Linked DNA regions of Macaca mulatta. The protein of the gene in region 5 interacts with the protein of the main gene of each other region in a biochemical or structural test. Links are inferred from orthologs where the notes say so. Each region holds a gene or a part of one and is shown on either strand. Other genes may lie near its edges.

Region 1 (4,812 bases), on a different chromosome or scaffold from region 5:
ACACATTTTTCAAAGAGTACATTTTTTTTTTCTGAAGTAAAACCTCACTGGGTATCAATACACACTAAAAGTCCTAGTCTTCCTGAGTCATGGTGTGTATTTACTGCATAAAATATTTAAGTATAACACTTATTACCACTTTTTAAGAAAATTTCCCTTTTCAGCCTAAATTGCCTACAGAGGATAATGGCTACAAAATTTGTCTGCTATTGTAAAAACTAGTTCCAACTACTTTTCCTTGATGGAAACGCATTTCTCCAATAGCCATTAAAGGTGGAAAAAGTCTTACTCTAAGGAATGCAACATCTGGAGATTCATATGATTCTGCCTCAAATCATACATACAGCTAATTAAAAAGGTAATGCCAGAATATGAACCAGACAGTTAAACCCCCTAACCTTTCTCTCATATAAACCCTCATTCTATTGATCCACCTATTTGAATAGTCCTTAATTGCTTCACTGTTTCTTCATTTGCAAGTTCCTTCATAATTTTAAATCTTTGATAATCAGACCAGCCATTCTATGGATCTGCTGCACATCTATTATGGCATTATAAGGTGCACAGTCTAACAGATCCACAGTTCTGTAAGATGCTTACATTTGGGGGGAAGAATTTCTTCTCTTCTTGCCAGTGAAAGATGAAAATTAAAATCCCGAGTACTCATCAGTAAATTAACCTCATGTTCTAATCTTAATGTGTCAGAAACCCACAAAAGCCTTAAAAAGTTTTTGGTGGCAACATTCTTCTATGTTCTTGAATAATCTGGTTGAAGTCTACATCCTAAATTGGGTAGTAAAAAGACAGATAATATTTTTCAACAATAGCTTTTCCTTTACATAACTACTTACATGGTAAATTTAATCTAAAGCACATGAAGATTAGTAACAAGTGTGATAAGCAAATATGAAAGGTACAACAATAGTAGGAATATTGCCTCAATTTCTGTCTTACGAACAAGGTACAGCCTCTTCAAATTTTTGAGTACCACAAATTTAGTCCTCTAAGAGAAGAAGGTGTTTCTTAATGGTTTTATTCTGCTGACCTCTGACTTAGAAATAAAGAGGCAGTGCCAGGCACGGTGGTGCATGCCTGTAGTCCTGGCCACTTGGGAGGCTGAGGCAGGAGGATCACTTGAGCCCAGGAGTTGGAGGGTGCAGTGAGTTATGATCACACGAAAGAATGAGACCCCATCAAAATTAAAAAAAAAAAAAAGAAAAAGGCAGCTTTTAGTCTTCTTTTGGCCTTTAAAAAACTATTTAAGTTGATATCCTAATCTTTACACAATATACTAAAAAAAAGCCAATGAACCTGGATCTGGAAAAGAACTATTAGTTTATTTCATCTTTGGTAAGCAAAAGCAATATATAAATAGCTAAATAGTCCAAAATAAACAGCTAAAGCCTTAATAGCCAAATGAGTTGTTATAAAGGAAAATTATTAAAGCAAATCACTTTTCAAACTTGAAGCTTCTCTCTTAAAGAGATTTATCTCTAAATGCAAAACATTTGCTAGTTTCAAAAGTACACTGATCTAAACACACGTTAAGGACTTTATATGCAATACAATCCCTTAACCCTTAAGCCTCACAACAACATTCTAAGGTAGGTATTGTTGCATTTTCATTTTGCACCAGAAAAAACTAGGGCACTGTGAGGATAAGTAACTTCCCTAAGGTTACAAAGCTTGAACCCAGCTTTGCAGGTTCTGAAACCTATGCTCCTTGGGCACTCTATTGCCTTCTTGGTAGCACAGAAAATACAAAAATATGATCAAGCTCTAAGTTCTATCTCATGCATCAGACAAAGCACTGGAAATTACTTTGTTTCCTGGTGTCAAGAAAACAGTTTGTTATCTATACTTCCTGATTTTAGGTTAGGTGGGTGGCACAAATGAACTGTTTTTCTCACCACACTTATTGCATAATCATTAAAACCCAAAAGGAAGAGGACTGCCTAAATTCTTAAACTTTATTTCCTGCTGGCCTAGAAGACCTTACTTAACCACTGTTATATCTATTATACTCATTTTAAAAGTTAAGGTTTTCCTTGTGCAAGTAAGAGACTGAAGTTATTTCAGTCTTAAAGAAAATCAACTACGTACTGGTCGTTTTACCTGCTTTTAAAAGCAGATCAACAGGATATAAACCTGCGTTGTTTTTTTCTTAAGGGGAAATTTCTTAATGACCTCTTAATTTAATCGAATGGAACAAGTAGCACACCAAAAATGATGTGTAGTGGAAAAAGAAAAAATCGCAAGAAGTTATATAGTGATCTACTTTCACTAGTGTTAGAAAAGCAAAGGATGAGTCTCTTTTTGAGTAACTTCAGGCTGACCACAATAGCCACTTGTTACACTACGAACACCCGCTCCAACACTTCAGGTTCATTAGGAATTAAGAGGAGGCCAAGAAGGTAAAAGACACAATCCAGCCAGGTCTAAGGTCTCTCTGTACTACACCCTGAGGGACACAGAGAACCAGTGCATTGTGCCCCCCAACCCCAAACCTTCCCTGCTCCCCAGGAGGCAAAGCCCACAGCCTGGGGCCAAGATAGTCCTCTGGCCAGGGCAGTGACCCAGCGTCAAACAACGCGCCCCTTATGACCAAAGCGTCGGCACCCAGGGGTTGGAAGAGGGGAAGGGACAGGAAGGCCTGGAAAGGAGAGAAGGGTGGCCAAGATGATGTTTTTTAAAACTAGGGAGGGTCCCTCCCCAGCCTCGCCAGCGGGGATGAGGCCCGGGGCCGGGAAGGAGCGGGTCGCCGCCATGATGGGACTGGCAGAGCCGGGGGGCGTGACGTGGGCAACCCCTAGCCCAAGGCCAGCTCCGTCTCCCCCTACCCCCTCCCCCACGTGGGCCTCGGCCACAACTGCCCCCCGATACTCACGCTTTGTCCACCAGCTCGCGCACCTTCCACATGTTCAACATCGTGTCCCGCGCGGGACGGGCCGCCGCCTCCCTCTCCTGCTCCCCACGGACCCTGGAACACTTCCGTACCGGGGCAGTTCCAGGCCGGGGTCACCGCCGCCCACCACCTCGAACTCCCCCAGTCAGCTCCTTCCTTTGCTACAGCAGCGGCGCCGCCGGTGACACGTCGAGACGCGGCAGCAGAGGCGCTGCGTGGAGCGGAAGTGCCCGACTTTCCGCCGCTGCGCGCGGGGCACGCCGGGACTTGTAGTTTTTCCTGAGTGCCGAGCGGGCCCGGTTCAGTTGCGAGAGCTGAGAGGAGTTGGGATGATTTTTCTCAAACTTTCCCAGTCCCCTGCACCAGACCTACCGAGCTGGAAATTTTGGAGGTGAGGCCCAGCGATCTGTGCTTTTGCAAATCCTCCAGGTGATTCTGATCACGCTCAAGTTTCAGAACCACTGGTGCAGGATCTAGTCACACTCAAACACTTTTCAAATGTAAGGCAGTATTGCTATGTTATTAGTAATGATTATACAGAAGTATGATTGGCGTATGTATTCCTCATCGACAGACACATCGCTGTATTTATTTCCCAATGTCCAAGTACACTTAGATCCCTAGGCCTTAGTTTCCACCCCCGTAAAATTGAAGAACTTGTATTCTAAATCCTTTTCTGCTCTAATTCTATGATACAATGTTTTATATTTAGACAACTACCTGAAATCCTTGTTAAATACTTTATTATAAACCTCAGAAACTCAGTTCACACTCCACGGGAAACTAAAAAGCCAACATTATATATACACGCACACATACGCATATATGTGACTGGTTTGTGTTTTTTAAGGATAAATATGCACATTGCTTTCATTGCTTTGTTGCAATGCTTGTCATCACTTCCTTCTCCACTTACTCATTTTTATCAATGCCCCTGTTAAAGCTTCAAGCAACTTTAAGTTTCCTTTGATCTGTCTGATGAAATTTTACAGTTCTTTTCATTCTACAAATATTTATTGGGCATCTTGTATGTTCCAGAAGTGGGGAATACAGTTAGAGACCCAGCTCTCTTGGAATTTAAAGGTAATTGGAAGAAACATAATAATCAAGGAAACATTTAAGGTAATTGCATATAGGGTAATCGCTTAGCGGGTTCTTTCTGCCGGCTTTACAGATAAAATCAATTCACTGCGTCCAAGCCATTGCAGTGAAGAGTTTGACATGAAGCTGGCCACGCCACTTAAGAGACAGAGTTGTTACTCAAATTAATCTTCCTGAAAATTTGGAAGCTAGGGGTTTTCAAAGATAGTTTGGTGGGCAGAGGGTTAGGGCATGGGTGCTGCTGATTGGTTGGGGATGCAATCAGAGGAGTGTGGAAAATGGTTCTCCTTTGCTGCGTCGACTTCTGGGTGGAGGACCAGCAGAGGAGTGGCTGGTCTGGGTGGGGCCATCTGTTTGTCAGAAATGCAAAAGCCTGAAGGCTAATCTTAGGTTCTACGGTAGTTCATTACAGGCCAGGCACAATGTCTCACGCCTGTTATCCCAGCATTTTGGGAGGCTGGGAGGCCGAGGCAGGAGGATCACTTGAGCCCAGGAGTTCAAGACCAGCCTGAGCAACAAAGTGAGACCCCGTCTTTACAAAAAAAATAATAATAATAACCAGGCACTGGGACACACAACTGTGAGGCCAGCTACTTGGGAGGCTGAAATGGGAGGATCCCTAGAAAGGATCAGATAAAGACTCCGATTCACAAAGAAGTGAAATTGACAGTTGCTAGTCATGAAGCTAGGTAACAATAATCCCAAATAAACAACCTCTGACCCGGGTCCCTCAAGTCAAACCACCTCTTTTTTTTTTTTTGGAGTTGGAGGTCTCACTCTGTTGCCCCAGCTGGTCTGACACTCCT
Region 2 (4,793 bases), about 4.7 Mb from region 5:
GATACTCTACATGCTGAAGCAAGCAGCTGCCCCAATATTTCAATCTGACAAGTCTTCAAAAGGTAGAGAGCGCCTAATGAATGATGAAAACACTCTTTCAACAACAAAACTGAAACATTTGCAAGAGAAAACGTGCTGTAGTTCTGATGCTTCTTATCAGAGGCAAATACACGGAAACTATGCTGTACTCACCCATCCTGGGTAGTGTTAATTATGTCACAGATGTGCATGAACTGGCCCCAATCTTCAGTCTGAACTCCAGCAAATGTAGCCTTTTCTGCCAAGAAAAAGCTGTTGAGTCTGAGCTACGACAGAATAAAAAATGTCTGGTATTCCTGAAATAATCTGCCTAGGCTGCACTAGCAAGTGTCATTAAGTGTATATTGCCAAAGGGCAAAGTGATTTTTTTTGGAACCGTTCTCAGTAATTCAGGAATCAATCAGAACCCAAGTTCAGAGTGCTGTTGCAGCAACAGTAATGAGTGATCTATTAATAAAGACTGCAAGCACAATACCTGGCCACAGGCCCAGGCCAGGCCAGCTAAATCTCCACCTGCCTGGCTTTCAGACAAGGGAACTAGGGCTTAGTGAGCAGCTACCTACAAGGTGAACTGCATAGTGCTACGTATTTTATCATATGCAATCTCATTTAACCCACTGTTAGAGATGATGAGACAGAAGTTGAGAGAGGTTAGGAAATTACCAAAGTCATACAGTCAGTATGAAGTAGAATTGGCATTCAAATCTACGTTGTTTGGTCTCACTGTTTGTTTTTAAAAATAATTTATTCTCTGGGGGGACAGGAGGAAAGAATTTTTAAAGGAGAGAAGTAATCCGTTGGTCTTAGGAGCCAAAATATTGGCATAACTCCAAATAATAGTAACATATTTATTCTCCTATCATCTTAATCTCACGATTCCTTCTAATTTTACCAATTATTATAACTTCAACCAATACTTGCAAAGACACTGCTTATCTCGACTACGTAAAAACTTCCATTGCATACACTTTTACTATCAGTGTTAATTGTTTCAAACTGGCACTGAGTAACTATCCAAACTAATAATAACAAGCATCTAAACTAACCACAGCTGCACCAGGCTGACCAGAATGTTTCTGCACTTGGAACCCTATCATTAGATAATCAGGCAATACAAGATGTTACCTGGAAAGGGTAATGGAACACTCAACATGAATGCGCTAACATCTTCCTAAGAGAAGGATAAGATCCCTAAGAATGAAAACACGGGGTTCTGGGGGAAATGGAGAAAAAACCAAAAAGGATAGAGAAGGGAAAGAAAGAATAAGGACTTGTTTCGGGGAACCCCAAAGTTTGGCTTGCTTTCAATCAAGGAAAAGAACCACTTGAGGCCGGGTGCGGTGGCTCACGCCTGTAATCCCAATCACTTTGGGAGGCCGAGGCGGGTGGATCACCTGAGGTCAGGAGGTCGAGACCAGCCCGGTCAGTATGGTGAAACTCCATCTCTACTAAAAATACAAAAATTAGCTGGGCGTGGTGACGTGCACCTGTAGTCCCAGCTACTCGGGAGGCTGAGAAAGGAGAATTGCTTGAACCCGGGAGGCGGATGTTGCAGTGAGCCGAGAGCTACTGCACTCTAGCCTGGGTGACAGAGCGACACTCAAAAAAAAGAAAAAAAAAAAAAAAAAGCAAAAAACAAAAAACAAACAAAACTTGAATTTGGCACCAAATGGACAAAGCTTATCTTCCTAGAAAACTCCCATTCACCCTTCAAAAGCCACAGTAGAATTCATTTCTCCCTTCCGGTAAGTTTTGTGTGTTTTGCATTTTCTTGCATTGCAAAGGTGCGGCACAAAACCGTGCGGTCTTCCCTACAAGAAAATGAGTTCCCTCAGGTTTGAGATCACGTCTCACCTTGGCCTTACCAGTGCCTGATCCAGGTCCAGACACATAGCTGACAGTTAGTCCATGTTTACAGAATTAAAAAATTAAGCAGATGAATTGCTGAAGTTTCTTTTGCCTATGAAGATACAGTCGGAACCCATTTCTGCTCAGGGTTCATTCTAATATCCAACAAAGCACAGCCATCAAGGGAAAGCATCTCCTCAATGGTAGCTACTCTGACCATTTTATAAGGATGTGTAAACTAAGGTTCTGTTTAAGTGGTGTGTTCGGTGTCACGGCAGTTAGTAGAGCTGTGAGCTAAATTTTCCAAATCTCGGCCTCTTTACTACAACTACTAGGTTCTCAAGATTTCATCACCCCACTAAGTTCCTGACATCATCACACTTTGCCTGGCATTAATATGCACTCGTGCCACACCCAATTCCCAAGGGAGGAATCAGGGAAAAGAGGGAGCAGTGAGCTGGTGCTTGTAAGAGTCCAATCACTGGCTTCTACATACATCATGCAAGGTACATTCGGAGGAGAGAGAAATCTTTTAGGTGGATGCCGGTGTAGTCCCTAGTGGCCTGCAAGAGACCTCCGTGCCCCCAGATGGCTCCTCTGTTCCCCTCCTCTTCACTCCAATGCCAAGCATTTTCATTATCTTTGTTTACCCAGAAAAGCAATCCAGGTTGTATAAGCTTGGCACTATTGAAAACTGGTTTGGGGAGACCTGCCCCTCACAGTAAGGTCACATCACTTAGTCTCCCAGAGCCTCCTCTTCTGTAAAACGGGCATAACAATACCGTGCCCTAGAGAGTGTGCGTTTAGGAATAACTTTCCCCTGGCCGACAAGTTTCTGGTGTCTCCTTGTGGAGGCCCAAATACTCCATGCCTGACTCCCGCGGTTCACCTGTTTGGTTCCACTCCCCAGGAGACATCGAAAGGAAGGTACATTTTTGAGGACTGCGGGTTCTAGAGTGAGTTGGCCAAGAAGGAAACGGACGAAAGGGGGCCGGGTGGAATGCGGGTGCCCTGGGAAAGTTGCTGGGGGAGGGGAAGGATTTTCTCCAAGTTGGACTAACTCCGTCCTCTGCAGGCCGAGAATGGATCAAGCAGGAAAGGATCCCACGGTCCCCTGCCTGCCTGGGCGTCTCTCCCCGCGCCTCCTTACCTATGAGGTGGCCCACGGAGGTCGCGTAGGGATCCCGGTGACTCTTGCCAAACGCCATGGTAGCTCCAGAGGGCCGGGCCCAGGAAATCCGCCTCCACCGCTCTCTGGCTCCCGACTCCACCCGCTCGGTACCCTTGGCTCCTCCTCTTCGCCCGAGCGCTTCCCTGGCTCTGGCGGAGGCGGTGCGTTGTGCGCTGCCGCTGCGGGGCGCGGGTACCGAGCGTGAGGAGCGGGGCGCGGGGCAGGGACGCTAGGGCGGGGCTTCGGGACGCCCCGCGCACCTGCAGCGCGCCCTGCGGGACCGGCAAGGAGGCGTCGCTGCCCGCTGCAGGTGGTACAGGCGGGCAGCGGTGGGCGTATGGAGCCTGCGAGAGTGGCGCGGCCGCCCGCTCGGATCCCAGGTGGGCTTTTCGCCCCGCGCAGGAGGAGCAGGAAGCCCAAGATCTCCAGCTTGGGAAGTAGAGACCCAGGCTTTGATCCCGCCGCTTGCTAGGCAGATTGTCACTCTTCTCTGCGCCTCTTTGGCTGCCCTTGGTAGACCAAAGATAATAAGGGGTTAATAACACAAATTCAGAATTGTGAGAATTAAGGGAAGGACGTAAACCGATTAGGTCGGTGTCTGGTACCCACAAAATAGTTAACCACTGAATAAATTGAATAACTAGAAATGTTTACCCTCGACCTGCCTTCGCCCTACAGATGCGGGAGGGGAGGTGTGCGCCCTGCCCTTTGAAGCTGTAGGTAATGTCTAGGAGGAAGGATTGGGTTCGAAGTTAGGGCTTCCCAGGAGCAGGCCCTCTTTGTGTCTCTCCTGTTTCCTCGAGGGACCACAGGGCGCCGCCACGCAAGCTCTTGTTTTCTAACCCCACTTTCTGGGAGCCGTGTTTTCCAGCCTGATTCTAAAAATGGGGGAGGGGCTTTCCGTTTCCTCTGGCAAGGAGGATGCTTGGTTTTAGGCCTGAGTTTGAGAAGCCCAACACCTTTCCAGCTGCCCTTTGGGAACCAGAATTTATTTCTTATTCCTTTGCATTCAATTAACATTGAATTGGCGATGTTAACAATCTCCAGCTGCCAGAGAGTGATGCGTCCCCAGGCCATGTCAGATAGCCATAGATGAGCTCCTGGTGCTTGTAGATCCTGTTTCCTATAGTCTAACTGGCACCCATTTCAAGTTTGTTTTTTAGCCCTGGATATGGTGACTAGGGAGACGAAGGGGACCTGTTTTGACTTATGTCCGTGGTCTTGTGAATTTTAATATAGAGATCAAAACCAATTGCCATGCACTCCAAGAGGCTAACATTTAATTATTTATCTCGAACTCAATTATTTATAGTTTTTCTTGACCGAAGTGAGCCAAAACCTGGGATTCTAAAATCTGGAATGAAATATTCTTGTTGTGATGATATTTCTCATAATGGGATTTGTCTCATCTGTAGCTAATATTCTCCACCTGCCTATTCAGGGCGAGTAACTATTTCAGATGGTGCCATTTATCAACTTCCTTAGTCATCACTAACAGCCTCTGCTGACACTGTTGAAACCCTCTTTTGTGACATCACCAACCTAATCTGTATTCCATGCTACAGCCTCTAGCAAAGTGTTTTGCCTTTTCTGCAACCTACAGTCAACCTACAATCTCTGAAAAAGAAAGCCAATTTTAGCTTAGGACAGTGTTGGTGTCAGTGGCCTTCCATCAGATAATGAGAACTAGGAAGGAACCAAGCATCCAGAGAGATAGATTTTTAACATACTTCTA
Region 3 (4,092 bases), on a different chromosome or scaffold from region 5:
AAAAATGGTACTGCATAGAAACGGTTTTCTTATTTTTCTTTCCCATAGAGTCCATGTCTTTTCTGTCCCTATATACATTTAACCCAATTTCTGGTATACAGGACATATTGACTACTTATTTATAGCAGAGGCAGGGTCTTGCTCTGTTGCCCAGGCTGGAGTGCAGTGGCACAATCATAGCTCAGTGTGGCCTCCAACTCCTGGGCTCAAGCGATCCTCCTGCCTCAGCCTCCCGAGTAGCTGGGACTACAGGTGCGTGACATCACGCCTGTCTAATTTTTTTTTTTTTTTTTTTTTTTGAGACGGAGTCTCGCTCTGTCGCCCAGGCTGGAGTGCAGTGGCCGGATCTCAGCTCACTGCAAGCTCCGCCTCCCGGGTTTACGCCATTCTCCTGCCTCAGCCTCCCGAGTAGCTGGGACTACAGGCGCCCGCCACCTCGCCCGGCTAGTTTTTTTGTATTTTTAGTAGAGACGGGGTTTCACCATGTTAGCCAGGATGGTCTCGATCTCCTGACCTTGTGATCCGCCCGTCTCGGCCTCCCAAAGTGCTGGGATTACAGGCTTGAGCCACCGCGCCCGGCCGCCTGTCTAATTTTTTTTTAAATTTTATTTTGTAGAGACAGGGTCTCACTATGTTGCCTAGGCTGATCTTGAACTCCTGGCCTCAAGTGATCCTCCTGCCTCGGCCTCCCAAAGTGCAGGGATTACAGGTGTGAGCCACCGTGCTCGGCCACTACATCTTTAGTAAATGAATAAATACAGTGTTATGTCCATTTTGGGTATTACCTGGCCATCTAGATAAAAATCCTCAGAGACAGGGGAGCTGCCTATACTTCTTCGATATTGCCTAGTGTAATGATGAGAACACAGCAGATTCTCAGCTAACAGCCAGTGAATTAAATATAGCTGGAAAGTCCTTCAGGAGGTTTTCTCTTTTTAAATTATTTTTTATTTTTTATTTTGAAAGAGACAGGGTCTCATTTTGTTGCCCAGGCCTGTCTCAAACTTCTGGGCTCAAGTGATCCTATTTTTTTTTTTTTTTGAGATGGATCTCGCTCTTATGCCCAGGCTGGAGTGCAATGGCGTGATCTCGGCTCACTGCAACCTCCACCTCCCCGGTTCAAGCAATTCTCCTGCCTTGGCCTCCCAAGTACCTGGGATTACAGACATGCGCCACCACACTGGGCTAATCTTTGTATTTTTAGAAGACACAGGGTTTCACCCTGTTGGCCAGGCTCGTCTCCAACTCCTGATCTCAAGTGATCTGCCCGCCTCAGCCTCCCAAAGTGCTGGGATTACAGGCATAAGTCACTGCACCTGGCCAGATTTTCCAATTTTATTTTTATTTATTTATTTTTTTGAGACGGAGTCTCTCTCTGTCGCCCAGGCTGGAGTGCGGTGACTGGATCTCAGCTCACTGCAAGCTCCGCCTCCCAGGTTCACGTCATTCACCTGCCTCAGCCTCCCGAGTAGCTGGGACTACAGGCGCCCGCCACCTCGCCTGGCTAGTTTTTTTTTGTGTGTATTTTTTAGTAGAGACGGGGTTTCACCGTGTTAGCCAGGATGGTCTCGATCTCCTGACCTCGTGATCCACCCGTCTCGGCCTCCCAAATTACTGGGATTACAGGCTTGAGCCACCGTGCCCGGCCTGGATTTTCCAATTTTAACAATCTCTTTCTAGAATCAAGTTGTAAGTGCAGAAAGAACTAGCTCAGAACATCACTGATTCCCTGGCCATTCACCAGCATGCACACCCAGAATAACAACGCTCCTCAATGATACTACTGCAAGTACCTCGCCGATGGCCTTGATCTTGCTCAGGCAGTTCCTCATGGCTGTGCTGTCAGCATTCTCAAGGGTTCCCTCTTCCTCCAGGGCGGCCAGGTAGGCGAGGGTTTCCCTGCCGTACTGCTTACAGGCCTCGGTCAGTGCTGGAGATACAAGGCAATAGACACCTTTTTTTTTTTCTTTTGAGACAGAGTCTCGCTCTTGTTGCTCAGGCTGGAGTGCGCTGGTGCAATCTCGGCTCATGGCAAACTCCGCCTCCTGAGTTCAAGCGATTCTCCTGCCTCAGCCTCCCGAGTAGCTGGGATTACAGGTGCACCACTGTGCCCGGCTAATTTTTGTATTTTTAGTAGAGACGGGGTTTTGCCATGTTGGCCAGGCTGGTCTCGAACTCCTGACCTCAGGTGATCTGCCCGCCTCGTCCTCCTAAAGTATTACAGTGATTACAGGCGTGAACCATTGCACCTGGCCAGTCATTTTTGTATTTTTAGTAGAGACGGGGTTTCGTCATGTTGGCCAGGCTGTTCTTGAACTCCCGACCTCAAGTGATCCGCCTGCCTCAGCCTCCCAAAGTGCTGGGGTTACAGGCATGAGCCACTGCACCCGGCCCAACAGAGACTTTTAAAGGCCCCCAGCTCCCCCGGTCCATGAACAGCCCCTTATGCCCTGGTACTCACAGTCGGCAGGCTCAGGTGGGGCTCTGAGGCTGGTGCTGGCACCATGAGAAATGGCGTCGCTGGTCAAGTGGGCCAGCAGGGTTATGGAATGGAGAAGTCCACTGATGTCTGCCAGGATTGGAAAGGAAGTTTCTCAGGTCTGGTTGATGGTGTCACTTTCATACCCTTTCCTCCCCTATTTTATGAGTTGTCTACACGCCTTTCTTGATGCAGAGGAACCTGTCACCATTTCTGCATTCAGGTGCTTCTCAACCCTGTCCAGCTGTCACTAATGACAGAGACTATCCTTGGCCATTCTTACCTTCCGGGCAGGCCAGATACTGGCTCCAGCTTTTCTCCAGTTGTTCAATGCAGCTGGAAATGGACGTGACTGTGGAGAGGAGGTGATCTGTGAGAGGGAACACAGGGTAAAGTCACAGCAAGTTCTCATAGCTGGCTTCATCCTCGTTAATTAAGCACTGAATAGAGGAGCTTACCTAGTGGGTAAGCTTCTTGCCTAGACGTGAAGTTCATGAGTAATCACCTCTTGACTCAGACCATAGTTTTTTCCTTAGAGAAACACAGAATTGTCTGCTCCTGGTGGATGTTTTATCAGTGTGACCCACTGTCTAAAGCAGTGGCTATCGGCCAGGCGCGGTGGCTCATGCCTGTAATCCCAGCACTTCGGGAGGCCGAGGCGGGCAGATCACAAGGTCAGGAGATCGAGACCATCCTGGCTAACACGGTGAAACCCCATCTCTACTAAAAGTACAAAAAATTGGCCGGGCGCGGTGGCTCAAGCCTGTAATCCCAGCACTTTGGGAGGCCGAGATGGGTGGATCACGAGGTCAGGAGATCGAGACCATCCTGGCTAACATGGTGAAACCCCGTCTCTACTAAAAAATAACAAAAAACTAGCCGGGCGATGTGGCGGACGCCTGTAGTCCCAGCTACTCGGGAGGCTGAGGCAGGAGAATGGCGTGAACCCGGGAGGCGGAGCTTGCAGTGAGCTGAGATCCGGCCACTGCACTCCAGCCTGGGCGACAGAGCAAGACTCCGTCTTAAAAAAAAAAAAAAAAAAAGTACAAAAAATTAGCCGGGCGTGATGGCTCTTGCCTGTAGTCCCAGCTACTTGGGAGGCTGAGGCAGGAGAATGGCGTGAACCCAGGAGGCAGAGCTTGCAGTGAGCCAAGATCGCGTCACTGCACTCCAGCCTGGGCAACAGTGCATGGCTCTGTCTCAAAGAAAAAAAAAAAAAAAAAAAAGCAGTGGCTATCACACCTGGGGGCTTTAGAAAATACTACTGCTGGGCCTGGTGCGGTGGCTCACGCCTGTAATCCCAGCACTTTGGGAGGCCAAGGTGGATGGATAGCCTGAGCCCAGGTCTTCAAGACCAGTCTGAGCAACAAACCCCAACCAAAAACTAGCTGGGCGTGGTGTTGCGTGCCTATAGTCCCAGCTACTTGGGAGACTGAGTGGGGAGGATTGTGTGAGCCCAGGAAGTGGAGGTTGCAGTGACCCACCGCACTGCACTCCAGCCTGGGCAACAGGGTAAGACCCTATCTCAAAAAGAAAAAAAAAAAAAAAAAAGAAAATACTAGTGTACAGGTTCTAATGCACAGAGTTTCCAAATGTAACTGATCTAGGATGGG
Region 4 (4,736 bases), about 44 Mb from region 5:
CTGTTGCCCAGGCTGGAGTGCAGTGGCGCAATCTCAGCTCACTGCAACCTCCGCCTCCCAGATTTAAGTGATTCTCCTGCTTCAGTCTCCCAAGCAGCTGGGATTACAGGCGTGAGCCACCACGTCCAGGTATGTTTTGTATATATATATTTTTTGAGATGGAGTCTCGCTCTATCACCAAGGCTGGAGTGCAGTGGCACGCTGTCAGCTCACTGCAACCTCCACCTCCTGGGTTCAAGCGATTCTCATGCCTCAGCCTCCTGAGTAGGTGGGATTAGAGGTGCCTGCCATCATGTCTGGATAATTTTTTATTTTTTTGAGATGGAGTCTTGCTCTGTCGCCCAGGCTGGAGTGCAGTGGCGCAATTTTGGCTCACTGCAACCTCTGCCTCCCAGGTTCATGCCATTCTCCTGCCTCAGCCTCCCGAGTAGCTGGGACTACAGGTGCCCACCACCACGCCCGGCTAATTTTTTGTATTTTTAGTAGAGACGGGGTTTCACCGTGTTAGCCAGGACGGTCTTGATCTCCTGACCTCGTGATCCGCCAGTCTCGGCCTCCCAAAGTGCTGGGATTACAGGTGTGAGCCACTGCGCCTGGCTGCTAATTTTTATATTTTTAGTATAGATGGGGTTTCCCTATGTTGGCCAGGCTGATCTCGAACTCCTGACCTCAAGTGATCCGCCCGCCTCAGCCTCCCAAAGGGCTGGGATTACGGGCTTGAGCCACTGCGTCTGGCCTGTATTTTGTAGTTTTTTAGTAGAGACAAGGTTTCCCCAAGTTGGCCAGGCTGATCTCCAACTCCTGACCTCAGGTGATGCACCCGCCTCAGCCTCCCAAAGTGCTGGGATTACAGGCGTGAGCCACCACGCCCGGCCTTAGGTTGCAGTGAGCCAAGATTGCGTCACTGCACTCCAGCCTGGGTGACAGAGCAAGACTCCATTTCAAATAAATAAATAAATAAATAAATAAATAATAAAATAAAATAAAACTACCCAGTGATGGAGGTCCTAATGTCTCTATTTTCCAGGTGAGGAAACTGAGGCAGAGAGAGGTTAAGTGTTTTAAGGTCACAGAGAGAGTAAATGGTGGGAATTAATAGAAACCAAGGCGGTCTGGCTCCGAGTCCATCCTCTCAATCAATATTACACTATCCGTCTCTGTAGCTGGCATCAATAGTTTGTTCAATTGAAGGGTATTCGCTTTCCAGTTGCTGAAACAATTTAAGCCTGGACTCCACCCACTGCTGGGAGGGTAAGGAAGTGTTTGGCAATCCCAGTGATATGGCCAATTGTGAGCCTATTCTTTGAAGCATCACCTTACTCCTTCCAATCCACTCTGCCTCAGCAGTGATCCCTGGAAAGGATCCTCAGATAGACAGCAGAACGTGAAATCCTGCCAACTAGCCCATCCCTCCTCCAACTCTACCACCCCATTCCCAGAGGACCCCAATGGGCAGGTTGCCGCAGTATCTGGGTAAGACTTAACCATCTTTCCATCTGGTCTACAGCTCTGACAGCTGGAGCATATAGGAGAGCAATGACTCTGGCCTTTGGCCCTAAATGGTTTCTACCATAGGCCCAGTTTCTGCTACAACTTCACTTGTCCCTTCTTCCCAGAAAGCCAAGCTGTCCAAAGATTATAAGGTAAAGGGTATGGAGGCCCCCAGGTATTCCTAACCAATAAAAGGGAATAAACATCGATACGGTGGCAGCTAGAATAAACATCCTATCTTTTGTCCCAACTTGGGGGCTGAGTGCTGTGGCATCATCCAGGCTCTCCCTCCCCTTTGCTTCTGGTTTTCCTCTTTGTCCCAGGGTGTCCTCCCATTAGGAGCCCTGGCACAGGGCTGTGACAGCCACAGTCAGTGGGCCAACTGCAGTGTGGCTCTGGGGCAACTGCCCTGGAGCAGCTGCAAGGCACCTGCCCTTTGGATCCTAACCCAGCCACCTCCTGCCAGGCTGAGGAGGAGCAGCGTGCAGATACTAGGCTGGCCAAGGAGGCAGAGTGTGGGGATGACCAGGGAGGTGCCCAATGGGGGCAGGGGTAGCTGAAGCAGATGTCCTTTCACACTTCCTGCTATTCTCTCCATTTCCTGTGGCCCAGAATTTGATGGAGGTGAGGGAAATTGGGTCAAGTCAGCAGTCCCCTTTGGTCCATCTGTCCCACTCCTTGAACCACATAACGGAAATCAGGGGCCTCCCACAAGGCAGCAACTTCCCCTTTCTCTGGGATGTTTAAACCCTAATCCAGGATACCGATCATCTCTCTGATGATCTCTTTCTGATACTCATCTACTTGACGCTCAGAAACCTGGGTTCTCCTACTCTATAGGTTGGAAGTGGGGTCGATATGATGCTTTGCAGAGCAAGCCAGAGCTCAGGACCAATTCCCTATTCCCGATCCCCTCTGGGTTGAGGCCTACAGCCCCAACCTTTCTGTCTTTTGCTCCTGCTCCCCTGGGACTCAGGCATTCACCCCTTACCCCTTGGGGGTGTTGAGTCACAACAGGAAGTGGATTTTGCTAGAGACCAAAAAAGAGAACTCGGGGTATCAGTGGAAGGAAAGAGCCTCGATTGCACAGAAAACATCCGGGGAGTGGACGCGCGCCCAGCGTGAATACTGCCTCCCCCACCCCCAGGGAGAGGGATCCGATCTAGTTTCAGGAAGGGTCAGGCTCTCCCAAGATGAAGCTGTTGCTCCTGGCAACCCAGGGGAAGGTAGAAGTTTGGATGAGGAGCCACCCGGCCCTCGGGACAGGTGTGGGCAGCGCGACTACCTGGGGGATATTGGACAGGAGGCTTTGCATTGGCTTGGCACGAGTCTGGAGGGGATCCCCCTCCCAGCATCCAGCCTCCCCGTACACGACCCCTCGGGGCCAGCCACCTGCTCCTCCCTCCGTCCCTGCATCGCAGCCTGCCCAGACTCCTGGGCACGGGAGAGCCCAGTAGTCTGGCCCCACATCCCTGAGAGAACCCCGACACCGGTTTTTCTGATCCCCCTCCGGCCTCGCTTTCTGCAGGGGCCCGGGCATTTCCCCCCAACCTCATTATCCTCGAGGACCTGCGCGTGCGGCCCCGGATGGCTGTCCCTAGGGACCCAGGCGTCCGGCCCCCAGATCCTCTCCGCGGCGTCCTCGTCTGGGACCGTCCCAGCCCCCGCCCCGAGCCGCCGCCCATGCCCCGCCGCGTGGCCCCACCTCCCTTACCTGGTCCCGGGTTTCTCCCCCATGGTGCGCGCGCCCGCCGCCCGCTCGGTTCGCGGCTCGCTCGCAGCCTCCTCGCCCGCTGCCAAGATCCCTGCTCCTCCCCGCGCCAATGCGCACGCGCGCCCTCCGCGCTCTCGCCTCTTCCCCCTCCCTCCCGGCCCGGCTCTGGTCTGGGGGAACCGGGGCCAGATGCGTCAGCCGGATCGCGCGCGCCGCGGCGCTGCCCGCCCTCTCCTAGCAGACACACGGGGCCATTGGCTCCGCCCCCAACCCTTCGCGTTCCGTCCCAGCCGGGGAGCCCTCCCCCGCGCGCGGGGCCCGCTCCCGCTCTTCCCGCCCATCTCCCCGCCCCGCCGCAACCCCTTGAAACCGATTGGGCCCCCCTAAACCAAGGCTCCCGCCTTCCAGGGGATCTAAGTCTTTCGATTGGCCCTCGGCATCCAGAACCTTTAGGGGTCTCCTCCCCTTTGTTTGCTTTCTCAGTGGCGGTGGGGGCGACCGGGCTGTTGGGGGCGGTGGAATGAGCTGAAGCGCCGTCTGGGAAGGAGGATGGTGGGGGGGAACACGTGGGTGAGCAGTTCAATTGCGTGATACTTGCTTCAGTGCGCGCGGCTCACCTGCTCCACGCGGAGCGTACCGCCTTCTGTGGCCAGCCCTCCCGCTTCTTCACCGCAGCGTGTCAGCTCCTCCTGGTGTCTACATTTGATCTTCGCAGGGTTCCCTTTTCCAATGTCTCTGACTCTCCATCTCCTTCACCCACCCATCCCAGCTAACATCCACTCACTCACTCGCTCGCACCCATCGGTCCATCTATCGACCCACCCATCCGTGCCTATTTTATGCTATTTACTATGCCAATCGATGGGGACACATATGAATTACCATGGCCCCTGACTTCCTAGAATAGTTGAGGAGACACATACACAGGTATTACCCAGGTATGCTATTACAGAGGTCTGAGTCAGAAGACACAGCCACTAACAGCGCTCGGCCCGGGCGGGGGTGGAGCGGAGAACAAATGAGGACAGTCTTTCTGAAGGATGTGCAGAAGTTTTTTTTCGTTTTCTTTTTTTTGAGATAGAGTCTCGCTCTGTTGCCCCGGCTGGAGTGCAGTGGCGCGATCTCGGCTCACTGCAACCTCCGCCTCCCAGGTTCAAGCACTTCTCTGCTCAGCCTCCCGAGTAGCTGGGATTACAGGCGCCTGCCACAATGCCTAGCTACTTTTCATATTTTTAATAGAGACAAGGTTTCATCACGTTGGCCTTGCTGGTCTCAAATGCCTGACCTCGTGTTCCACCCGCCTCAGCCTCCCAAAGTGTTGGGATTACAGGCGTGAGCCACCGTGCCGGGCCGGGCAGAAGTTAAGACAGGGCATTCCAAAGAGAAAGACAAGGCACATCCTGTTGTGTGGTGTTGGTGGGGAAGCCTGGAACAGGTTGTGGAGGATTTTGTATAGCAGATGAAGGAGCGAGACTGAGGGCCCCGCAGAAGGACACGAGGAACCAGTAGTGGTTTTTAAAGCAGAGGGGGC
Region 5 (4,890 bases):
CTGGTAGAAGCTCAGAGGTCAGAGACCTAAGACGCCAATTAAAATAATCCTTATTAGTTGGGCTCAGTGGTTCACACCTATTATCCCAGCACTTTGGGAGGCCAAGGCAAAGGATTGCTTGAGCCCAGGAATTCGAGACTAGCCTGGGCAACATAGTGAAGCCCCATCTCTACAAAAAATACAAAAATTAGCCAGGTGTGGTGGCTCATGGCCGTAGTCCCAACTACTCAGGATGCTGAGGTGGGAGGATGGCTTGAGCCCAGTAGGTCAAGGCTGCAGTGACCTGTGACAGTGCCACTGACCTCCAGCAAAAACCCTGTCTCTTCAAAAAACAAAAACCTTATTAATTTTTCAAAAGGTAGGAGATAATGAAGTCAGGAGATATATTATCATGGAAGAGGCTGTAGTTATTTGCGCTCTGCAATTAATCAGCTGGAGCACACAGTCATATTAGCTAAGCAAGCTTAACTTTAGGCATGACATAGCAATCCAAAACACAGAGGGCTGAATTTTCAATTTGCAAATCTGCTTTATATTCAAAATCTTCAAATTATTTGAGAAGAAAATGGCTTCATTCAAGTATCTGCTGAAACTGAGCCAGTTACAAAACAGACATGTATTAAATTTGTCTTCAATAAGTGACAAGGTTGGGTTCCAATCTCTGGCATCATTTAACAATTCTTGTCTCCTCTTTAAAAGAAATGAAAAGCTATTACTCGAACCACCACAAGATTTAGTAGTGAGCTATACATCTGCCATGGAAAATAAACAGCAGCTGTACTTGATTCTTTGTGTGGTTTATAAACATTTGTCTGCAGAAAGATATTTCAGATGCAGCTTAGTATGAAAACAAGCCCGCGTTTTCCCCTCACACTTAAGAACAGCACTTTCTCAACTCTCCACATTCATTTGCCACCCCACTTTAACAAAAATAACTAAAGCAATTAAACTTGGATTGATTAAAAAAAAATCCACTTTGTTATTTAACGTTTTTAACCTTCTGTAAAAGTGTTTTTATTATTGGCATAAATATATTTATATATATATGCCAAGATATGCCAAGGTATATTCCATTACTTCAGATGAGTTATTTGAAAATTATAGATGACTGAAGAAAGTGCATTATTTGACTCATTTTATGGGTAAAGATTTATTATTCTTTACATTTCAAGCCTTAAAGGAAAATAAGTCCTTGCTAGTGCAAACATGGTAATACCTGCAAAGAAATATGAAATTATGTTACTTATAGCCTGAATATTAAAACCTTTTATTAACAAAACTCTTTTATGTATGTTATACCAATGGGGGAATGTAAATAAAAATGGTCTTCAATGGTAAAGTGTCTAATAAGTCACTGATATTAGTGTCATGTCAAACCACTGCATTCTCTGTCATTATGGAATTAGCCCTTCAGACGATAGAGCTGAGGCAGGTTTCTTTAAGGGGATATTTGGGAAGAAAGCAAATTAATAGGAATAAATTGTTTCAGCTACAGTAAAAATCAGGATTGGTGACACAGGAAAATCAAAAGCTCTGAAGAGGTTTAATTCAGTGAAGCCTTCCAATGGTCACCTGCCTAGGCCAGCGATTGGCATGCTGCCAGATGAGACAACAATATGTTGCCTCCAGGATAAGGAACCATGGGAAAGAACTCTAGAACTTACTAAAGGGAAGCCAGTTACAGACCAAATAGCCCCGCAGGTCTCAGAGCAGCTGTGCTCTGTCCCCAGGGCTCTGTTCAATTCCATGCGATCCTGAGGAAGATATTCAAAACTACCTGCTACTACTCGAGAAGACTAGAAGATAACCTCTGTATCACTCTTTCCTACCTTCTAGAACCAAAGAGGGGTTAAGAGCCACAACATCCCCAAAGAAATAAAAAAAGTGGGAAGGGGAGGCGAGTTTCCTTAGGGAGCTCGACCCCACACACTCTGAGATTGACATCGTTCTGAGAAATGCGTTCTCCCATTCTACCCTCGTTTCGTTCTTTCAGTGACCTTCTGTCCCTACTGCCTCAAGGAAGGCAAGAGACAAGCCACCGCCTCACCACCACCCCCAACCCCCACCACCGGAGAAGGTGCCTTTCTCAGTTGAGAGCCGCAGAGGGAGGAAAAAAAAAAGGTTGCTCCTCCCCAACCCACCCGCCCCACAACTCCTGGGTGCAGACACGAAGAGGGAAAGAGGAGAGCAATGGAAGGTGACAGCCCCGCACTGGCCCAGGGGATAAGAATCCTTGCTCTGGTAGAAACAAGAGAGAATCCCCCCTCCCACTCCCCTACCCAAATGAATGAACTGAACAAAATGGGGAGGAGAGAGTTTGTACGCGCAGTTCTGGCCATCCAGGAAGCAAGATCGAGAGGCCTTTGGATCCAGGCCTGGTCTTTGCAGCCCTTTGCACCCCAACTCCTGTCCTTTCATCCAAGCCCCACATCATTTAACAGTTTAAGCTTTCTAAGATAGTGCCCCCTCCTCCACCTACCCCAAAGACCGACAACCCCCCCACCCCTCCAGCTCCGATCCTGCTCGGGGCCCAGACTCCAGCTTCTTCCACTATTCCTACCACCTTCTCCACAGCCCTCACCAGCCCGGGCCCGGCCGCACCTGGAGATGCTCCTGAAAACGAATTGGCAGAATCTGGGCCATGGCGCTGTCGGGGGGAATGGTCTCCTCCTGTCACTGGGGCTGCGGGGCAGTGGCTGCCCGGGCTCTCCGAGGGAGAGGAGGAGAAGGGGAGGGGGGAGGCTGGGCTCAGCAGGATCCTCTCCGGGGACGCAGGAAACTGGCACGCAGACGAAAGAGCTCGGGTCGGGGGCGGAGGCTCCACGGGCCAGGAGAGCCGCAATGGCGGAACCGGGCGCAGCGCAGACTCCGGAAACGGCTGAGCCCAGCGGAAGGATCCCGGCGACAGAACTCCGCCCAGTCGCCTCACCCCCTCCGCCTTATGTACCCCTCCACGGAGCGGTGCGTGCGGCGGGTGCAGGAATTCCGGGCGCTGTGCGCCCGGAGCCTCTCTTCTGACGCCACACGGGGGGCAACAGAGGAACCGGAGGGACTACTTTTTTAGACTCATCACTTTCGCCAATCTTCTTTTTCTACCCCCACTTTTTTTTTTTTTTTTTTGCATTTTGCCACATCATGCGACTCGGAGCGACCGACGTCACTTCCGTGGGCGCTTTAGGTCCCACCCACGTACTTCCAGGTGCACGTGATACTGATGGGGAAGGGTCGGCTGATTGCTGCCAGAATGGAGAGCGCGTTTTAAGGAAATGCGGCGTCTCCTGGGAGTGAAGTGGCTGTTGGGCCACCTTGAGGCATGACGGGTGCCGCTTCCTTCCCCTGCGACCCCTGCCTGTTTGGACTGAGCCCCTTACAGGAGGACGTGGCGGGGGCAGACGGGGGCAGCCTCCCGCCCTCTCCGTGACTCAGGGAAACGGCCTCGCCGCAGAGCGCTCCCTCGGCAGCTGGCTGCAGCACTCCTCCCCCGCCGGGCTTCAGAGTGGGTGGTTTCCTACAGCCTAGGGAGGGGGCCTGAAACGGGGTTTAAAATCCTCCCTGCCCTCACACACGCCCTTCTGACGGTTGGAGAACCTGACGCGCGGATTCTAACTAGAACCGGCACTCTCTTCGGGTGTTAGATAATTAGCTCAAAGGACAGCGAAGGCCATTTATGATGTGTCTCAAGCTGGCCTTATGACAGCTTCTCTTAACGTTTCTGCGGACATTTTGGCGGGCGGACATGTGTCAGCCTAGCTCAGTAATCAGTTTCGTTAAAGAATTCGAGTATCAGAACGTACAAGGATTGGACTCAAATTCTAGCAGGAGGATTTTTAGCCACATCAAATAATTTATGTCTCAGAGATTTAGATAATTAGGGTAAGGATGCTTGGTAAAGCCTGAAGGTTCCTGGAGGAAAGAGATGAACTGTTAGTCGTGCATTTCCGTGGGACCACCTCAACATAGGTTCCTGTAGGTTAGCAGTGTAGAAATGCAGCGCTTCAAAGCCGGAGCATCATGTCTTCAAAGAGCATGGAGGTATCAACGGCATTCATTGTCGATTAATAATAACCTTCCCAGTACTTTCTTGCTAAAGTATAAGCCATAATATTTCATAATCGCACCAATACAAAAAAGGATGAAAGACTTTAATTCTGTGCCTTTTATCTTTGTAAGAGAGGTGATTCCCCACCCTCCCCCGAAAGAGAAAAGCTCAAGTCCACAGTAATTATTTTTAGTGCCCTTTTCAGTTAAAGGACATAAAACCCTACTGGGTAGACAGTAATTTTGTGTGCTAAGTTTGAGTTAGGGTGAGAAGTTTGCCAATCAGTTGCTTTTAGTGTTTTTCTCTTTTACTTAACTGTCTCATACTGAGCACGAGAGAAGAATCTGGCAGGTAACAGGGCAAAGATTGTTCTGCAAAGAAAAGTCTTACCACCATGTTGTAAGAGTGAATATTTATAGTTGCAAAATATCTTTTTGTATTGTTAAGCTAAATACACGAAGATCCTCTGTGTTCCGCAACGTTTGAAATGAAATGCCAGTCTGATAGTAACTGCTTTAAACCCTTTTTGGAAGTAGACAAATTCTAAATTAAAATTCTAAGGGAGTAATTGTTTTATTACAGTAATTTAATAGCTTGATCAAGTTACATTTTCAGTCTCAGAATCTGGAGATACAAGAGCCATATCATGAATGGGCCACCAAAATTTAATTTATTAATGTGTCTGGTATTTTCATACAGACCCTGTAACTTTAGAATCCCAAAAGCAGTTGATTTTAGCTATTGGGTGTGGAGTATCTAACCAAAAAGTGCACTGAGGTCGTTAGTGACTGTTAGGTCATCACACACAGAAATTACATTGTTTTGAGAAATAATTTAGGAAAAGGGAAAAT
Region 6 (4,804 bases), on a different chromosome or scaffold from region 5:
TCTTGCCTAATTTGCAGGGGTTTGTATTCTAACATGACTACAGGAATATGGGGCAGGCCCCTTTCAATCTGGAAAGTTCATGAGTTGAGTGGAGAGTCCTATAAACACAGATGGAAACCAGAAACCAGATAAAAGGCTGAGAAATCAAAGGTTCAGGAGGAAGAGCTTACTTTGAGGAAGATAAACACAAACCACTAAAATCTCAAAACATGTAAACAAGATACGGTGTTGAACATCTAGCAGTAAAGCTTCATGTGAACAGTACTATTAAAAACTATTACAAAACAGAAATAAACTGAGAATTTAAGTGAATTCCACAAACATTTATTGAGTATTTACTACGTGTTACCCACTAAATTACGATGAAAGAGTAGGGCTAAGAATAAGCATAAAAATTCTACCTGAGTGTAATTATTCATTTCAGAATATGAAGATTAGAAATAATTGGCATACAGCAAAACAATGGAATTCAGAATTTGGTAGTTGTCAAACAGAAAAGAGTGACAAATCCTGAATGCCAACTCTGCCTTATCCCTAGGAAACGCTTTGATTTGTTCAAGGAAGGTAAAAGGTCAAACAGGCTTTTTCATAATCTATTATCCTTGAAAAAGATGAATCTTAGTGTTTGATTCCCTGTTTCCAAAAAAACCTGATTTTTAATTGTAATTTTGGTCAAGTAAATTTCCCATGGTTGACAGTAGGAACCACAGACGTAAAGATTTAAGACAGGCTTCAAGTTCTAGGATAAAAAGGCCAAAAGTAAAAAGTTCTGGACGCTCGAGTCAGAGAAGGCACCAGAGAGACAAGAACATGAGGATTACAGATGGTATTATGGTATTAGGTGTCTCCAGTAAATGCTTTCAAGAGAAATTTCTCAGTGTAATTCTGAGACATGTTACATAGGATCAGATCTCAGGTATTCTACTTCCTAATTGCAAACAAGTGACTTAACCTGTCTGTGCTTCAATTTTTGTATCTATAAAAGGGGGATAATGATATTACTATTTTATCCCTCGCACGTGGATTAAATGAACTAACTAATGAAAAGTGCTTAGAACAGTACCTGGCACATAAGCAGTCATTGAGTGTTAGTTATATAGCAACAACTGTATCAGTTGTTAGTTTATATATAAACTATAGTTTATATATATTTAAAACTATATAGTTTATAAACTGTTAATATAGCAACAACTATATTAGTTGTTAGTTATATAGTTGTTAGTTTTATAGTGTTATTTATATATTAGTGTTAGTTATATAGCAACCCCATACCCCCACATATACCCCCAACTATACCCCCATAACTTACACAGAATTGGAACACAAGACTTCCTTATTAGCTCAACAGAGTTCCAAATCTACTAATCCGAGGGACCACCTTCTGGGCTGTGGTCATCTCAGTAATGTAGCTATTCTATTCAATCTTCAGATTTTTGTTTTTACATTAGAGGAAACCAAGGCACAGAAGTTTTACTGGTTTGCTCAAGGGTCACCTCTCTCTAACCCACTCTAGCCTTTGGAAATGTTAGTGGTGTTCCACTTTTCTGCTGAATTTAGTTTTATTAAATTCTGAATTTAGTTTCATTAAACTAGTCTTCCAGGGTTGGATGAAATCTGGGTTTGATGAACTTCCCAATAGAGCTGACTAAGCAGGACCTAGGAAGGAGCTACTTCATAGAACTAGCTGACATCCAGTTACAGTGGCACCAATAGTCTCAGAAAAGAGCAGGTTGGGCCAGTGGGGATTTCTTCCATGTAAATCAGACAGCATAGACACAGAGGATCTAAAAGTGGGGACTGAGGAAATTGGTTTTAGGCAGAACCCAATGTTGGGAGATGGCAAGATTTAAGTGAACAATTTTTAAACTGGGAAGGAATATTATGCCAAGAAGCCAGTGAATATCCAAGGGAGGTGTCTTGGGCACACAGGGATAGGGACCTATGATATGTAAAGGTCACCATGGATACTTTTGAGATGAGGCATTAGTGACAATAGAGGTTAGCAGCTATGGTGATAGCTTATCAAAATAATCTTTTGATCAATCATTCAACAGTATTTACTGAGTTCCTATGTCTAAGGCAGAGAGGAAGGTGACACACTGATAAAATACTGTTATTTCTATCTCTACACATTTCATTACATTTTCTAACAGTCAAATCAGTAAGTGAGGCAGTTTCTGGCCTACACTAAACCATTACTGAATTAATGAATATGCCTTCAAACAAGTGGGATAAGGGGGTAGGGAGACTGGAGAAACCAGCTGAATAGGGTTAAGACAAGTCTGTAACGTGAACAATGAGGCATTTCCATAGCATTTTTACGTTTTGTAAACCACTCTCGCATTTATTTTTCCCCCACTTATAACTCCAAAGGCTATAAGGTAAGGCAGTTAATGGTTTTATTAAACTGAAGAGTTAACTTTGGCCCAGAAAGCTTTATTGACTTGCCCAACGTTACACAACACATGTCAGTTGCAGGGGCAGGAACTAAGAACCCAGGCTTCCTGCTTCCCCGCCCATTCAGTCCTTCCACTGAGCCACACTGCCAAGCAAGATCCAGAGGCTTGGAAGTTGAGGACAAAGCCCCGAGGTTAGAGAGCACTGGCACTTCACACCTGGACCTGAACCTGTTGCCCGTGTGGCCTTAGTAGGAGGACAGTGGGTGACCCGTCGCGGTTTGGGGTTGGGAGGTAATGGCAGGCTCACCTCCTCTGTGGGAATCAGGTGGTTACTTACTCATATTGCCCGTTCCTCTGGGCTAGGGTCAGGGCGCAGGGCTCCCGGAGAGGACCCTTCATCTCCATACCCTCGACAGTATGCGGGCGCTAGTCAAGGGTCTCCTGTGGAAGCGCGGTGGGGAGGAGTGGTGCACTGCGGGGCGAAGGGGGTCTTCCACCCCCCGCCCCGGCCGCCCTCACCCGCCCCGCCCGGCTTCGCCTCCCGCGCCGGCCCCCTCCCCCACTCTGCTTGGCCTCTGGGCCACCCGGTTGCCCCGCCCCGCCGTGTTCCGCAGGGCCCCCGACCCCCACCCGCGGCCCTGCGCGGTCTCCCCTCCCCCTTCTCTCCGGCGGATACGGCAAGGGGCTGGGCTCCGACCGGGAGCGGCGGCTCCATCCAGGCGGCCTCCGGGCTCGGCGGGACAGCGGACTGCGGGCGGATCCGACGACAGTGGCTCCCGAGTCCCCACACCCACCCACCCACCTCGGCTGCGTGTCGTTTGAGGAACCGCTCCGCGCCGGGCGCCGGGCGCCGGGAGCCGGGAGCCGGTAGCGGGGAGCTGGGAGCTGAGAATCTGACCCGAGAGAGAGCGGCGCCTCGCGCCCCCGCCAGTTTTCCAGGCCGCCGCAGATTCCGCTCCCTGCGGCCAACCTGCGGAACTGCAGCGAGAGACCCGACGGACTGGGGGCGTCCCTACTACGTCCAGCAAGGAATGGGGTTTAAATGCCACCTGTGACATCAAAATTGTTCTGAGGACTTTGAAGATGGCCACAGAAACAAAACACAGTCACACCTATGGGGGATCTCAAACCTGTTGTGTCAATACGACCCACATCATCCATATATGAAACAATATATATATAAAATATATAAAATTTATATATTATATAATATATATTATACATAATATATATTATATATGTAATATTATATATAATATAATATATATTATATATAATATAATATATATTATATATGTAATATTATATATATATATTTCTTAAGGTTATAATGCTCTGTGTTGGTTATCCTACCATTTCCCTTCCTCTTCTTTCTTCTATGCCCTATATCAGAGAATTCCCCAAAGCCCAGACCTTTGCTCCTCCTCTGCATCCCCTCCAGGTCACCTCTAACTAGACAATGTCCAAATATATATCCCTGGCCCAGACCTGTTACCTAATAGAGTCCATTGTTAATACATCACTACGTCACAAAACTAACTCATTATCATTTCACTTAAAAGCCATATATTGTCTTCCCCCTCCTAATCTCTATATCCAATCAGTCAACAAACCCTGTTAATATTTTACATGGAATTACTTTTAGATTCCTTATTTTCTTTCCATTCGCACTGCCATAACTTTATTGTAAGCCCTTGTGATAGCCTATCTGGGTTATTGCATTTTTCTTTAAATAAATCCTATTGGGTTTACTCTGTCCTTTGACCTGTTTACTCTGTTGACAACCATAACAATATTTTTCCCAAAGTAATTTTTCGATTGTGTTATTCATTTGTTCCAGAATATATAATACACTAAGTATCAAGACTGACTGTAAGTCTGTAGTAATTAAAAGTATACTATGGAGATAGACAATCAATGAAACACAATATAAAGCCCCCAAACAGACCACACATATATGGAAGGTTGATATGCAGCGTGTGGGACATTTCAAATCAGTGGGGAAATAATGGATTATCCACTAAGTGGTAGTAGGACTACTGCTTATCCATATGGAAAACTATAAAATTAGACCCCTACCTCTAACCATGGAAGAAAAATCAATTCTAGGTGGATTAAAGATCTAAATGTGAAAAGCAAAACTTTATAACTCTCAGAAAAAAGCTGAGTATCTTTATGAGCTTGGAATATGGAATGAGAATAAGACATTTAGCTAAATAAAATTTCAAAATGTGTGTACTTCAAGACAATATAAACAAGTTAAAAGACAAACTGGCCTGCACAGTGGCTCATGCCTGTAATCCTAGCACTTTGGGAGGCCAAGGCGGTAGGATCACTTTAGCCCAGGAGTTCAAGACCAGCCTGGGCAACGTGGCAAAACCCTGTCTCTACAAAAAATATAAAAA

Evidence for each region.
Region 1: the proteins of CLTC (region 5) and CLINT1 form a complex in vitro, tested with the Homo sapiens proteins (2 studies listed by BioGRID). The link is inferred for Macaca mulatta from reciprocal best matches to the Homo sapiens genes CLTC and CLINT1.
Region 2: the proteins of CLTC (region 5) and TOM1L1 form a complex in vitro, tested with the Homo sapiens proteins (2 studies listed by BioGRID and IntAct). The link is inferred for Macaca mulatta from reciprocal best matches to the Homo sapiens genes CLTC and TOM1L1.
Region 3: the proteins of CLTC (region 5) and HIP1 form a complex in vitro, tested with the Homo sapiens proteins (3 studies listed by BioGRID). The link is inferred for Macaca mulatta from reciprocal best matches to the Homo sapiens genes CLTC and HIP1.
Region 4: the proteins of CLTC (region 5) and ARRB2 form a complex in vitro, tested with the Homo sapiens proteins (3 studies listed by BioGRID and IntAct, with this or other methods). The link is inferred for Macaca mulatta from reciprocal best matches to the Homo sapiens genes CLTC and ARRB2.
Region 6: the proteins of CLTC (region 5) and OCRL form a complex in vitro, tested with the Homo sapiens proteins (2 studies listed by BioGRID and IntAct, with this or other methods). The link is inferred for Macaca mulatta from reciprocal best matches to the Homo sapiens genes CLTC and OCRL.

Annotation. Positions count from the first base shown.
Region 1 is NC_133411.1:166,740,521-166,745,332, forward strand, and holds the start of CLINT1 (clathrin interactor 1), read right to left. Parts: upstream 3,104-4,812; 5' UTR 2,929-3,103; coding exon 2,888-2,928; intron 1-2,887. UniProt on the Homo sapiens protein: Binds to membranes enriched in phosphatidylinositol 4,5-bisphosphate (PtdIns(4,5)P2). May have a role in transport via clathrin-coated vesicles from the trans-Golgi network to endosomes. Stimulates clathrin assembly.
Region 2 is NC_133421.1:55,064,221-55,069,013, forward strand, and holds the start of TOM1L1 (TOM1-like protein 1), read right to left. Parts: upstream 3,136-4,793; 5' UTR 3,096-3,135; coding exon 3,038-3,095; intron 306-3,037; exon of another isoform or gene 278-305; coding exon 193-277; intron 1-192. UniProt on the Homo sapiens protein: Probable adapter protein involved in signaling pathways. Interacts with the SH2 and SH3 domains of various signaling proteins when it is phosphorylated. May promote FYN activation, possibly by disrupting intramolecular SH3-dependent interactions.
Region 3 is NC_133408.1:50,697,623-50,701,714, reverse strand, and holds part of HIP1 (huntingtin-interacting protein 1), read right to left. Parts: intron 2,850-4,092; coding exon 2,763-2,849; intron 2,570-2,762; coding exon 2,462-2,569; intron 1,931-2,461; coding exon 1,794-1,930; intron 1,596-1,793; exon of another isoform or gene 1,334-1,595; intron 1-1,333. UniProt on the Homo sapiens protein: Plays a role in clathrin-mediated endocytosis and trafficking. Involved in regulating AMPA receptor trafficking in the central nervous system in an NMDA-dependent manner. Regulates presynaptic nerve terminal activity.
Region 4 is NC_133421.1:6,238,925-6,243,660, reverse strand, and holds the start of ARRB2 (beta-arrestin-2), read right to left. Parts: upstream 3,306-4,736; 5' UTR 3,229-3,305; coding exon of another isoform or gene 3,206-3,228; 5' UTR 3,177-3,205; coding exon 3,043-3,176; exon of another isoform or gene 1,005-3,042; intron 327-1,004; exon of another isoform or gene 125-326; intron 1-124. UniProt on the Homo sapiens protein: Functions in regulating agonist-mediated G-protein coupled receptor (GPCR) signaling by mediating both receptor desensitization and resensitization processes.
Region 5 is NC_133421.1:50,364,979-50,369,868, forward strand, and holds the start of CLTC (clathrin heavy chain 1), read right to left. Parts: upstream 2,881-4,890; 5' UTR 2,644-2,880; coding exon 2,602-2,643; intron 1-2,601. UniProt on the Homo sapiens protein: Clathrin is the major protein of the polyhedral coat of coated pits and vesicles. Two different adapter protein complexes link the clathrin lattice either to the plasma membrane or to the trans-Golgi network.
Region 6 is NC_133426.1:136,000,264-136,005,067, reverse strand, and holds the start of OCRL (inositol polyphosphate 5-phosphatase OCRL), read right to left. Parts: upstream 3,115-4,804; coding exon 3,076-3,114; intron 3,038-3,075; exon of another isoform or gene 2,820-3,037; coding exon of another isoform or gene 2,817-2,819; coding exon 2,737-2,816; intron 1-2,736. UniProt on the Homo sapiens protein: Catalyzes the hydrolysis of the 5-position phosphate of phosphatidylinositol 4,5-bisphosphate (PtdIns(4,5)P2) and phosphatidylinositol-3,4,5-bisphosphate (PtdIns(3,4,5)P3), with the greatest catalytic activity towards PtdIns(4,5)P2.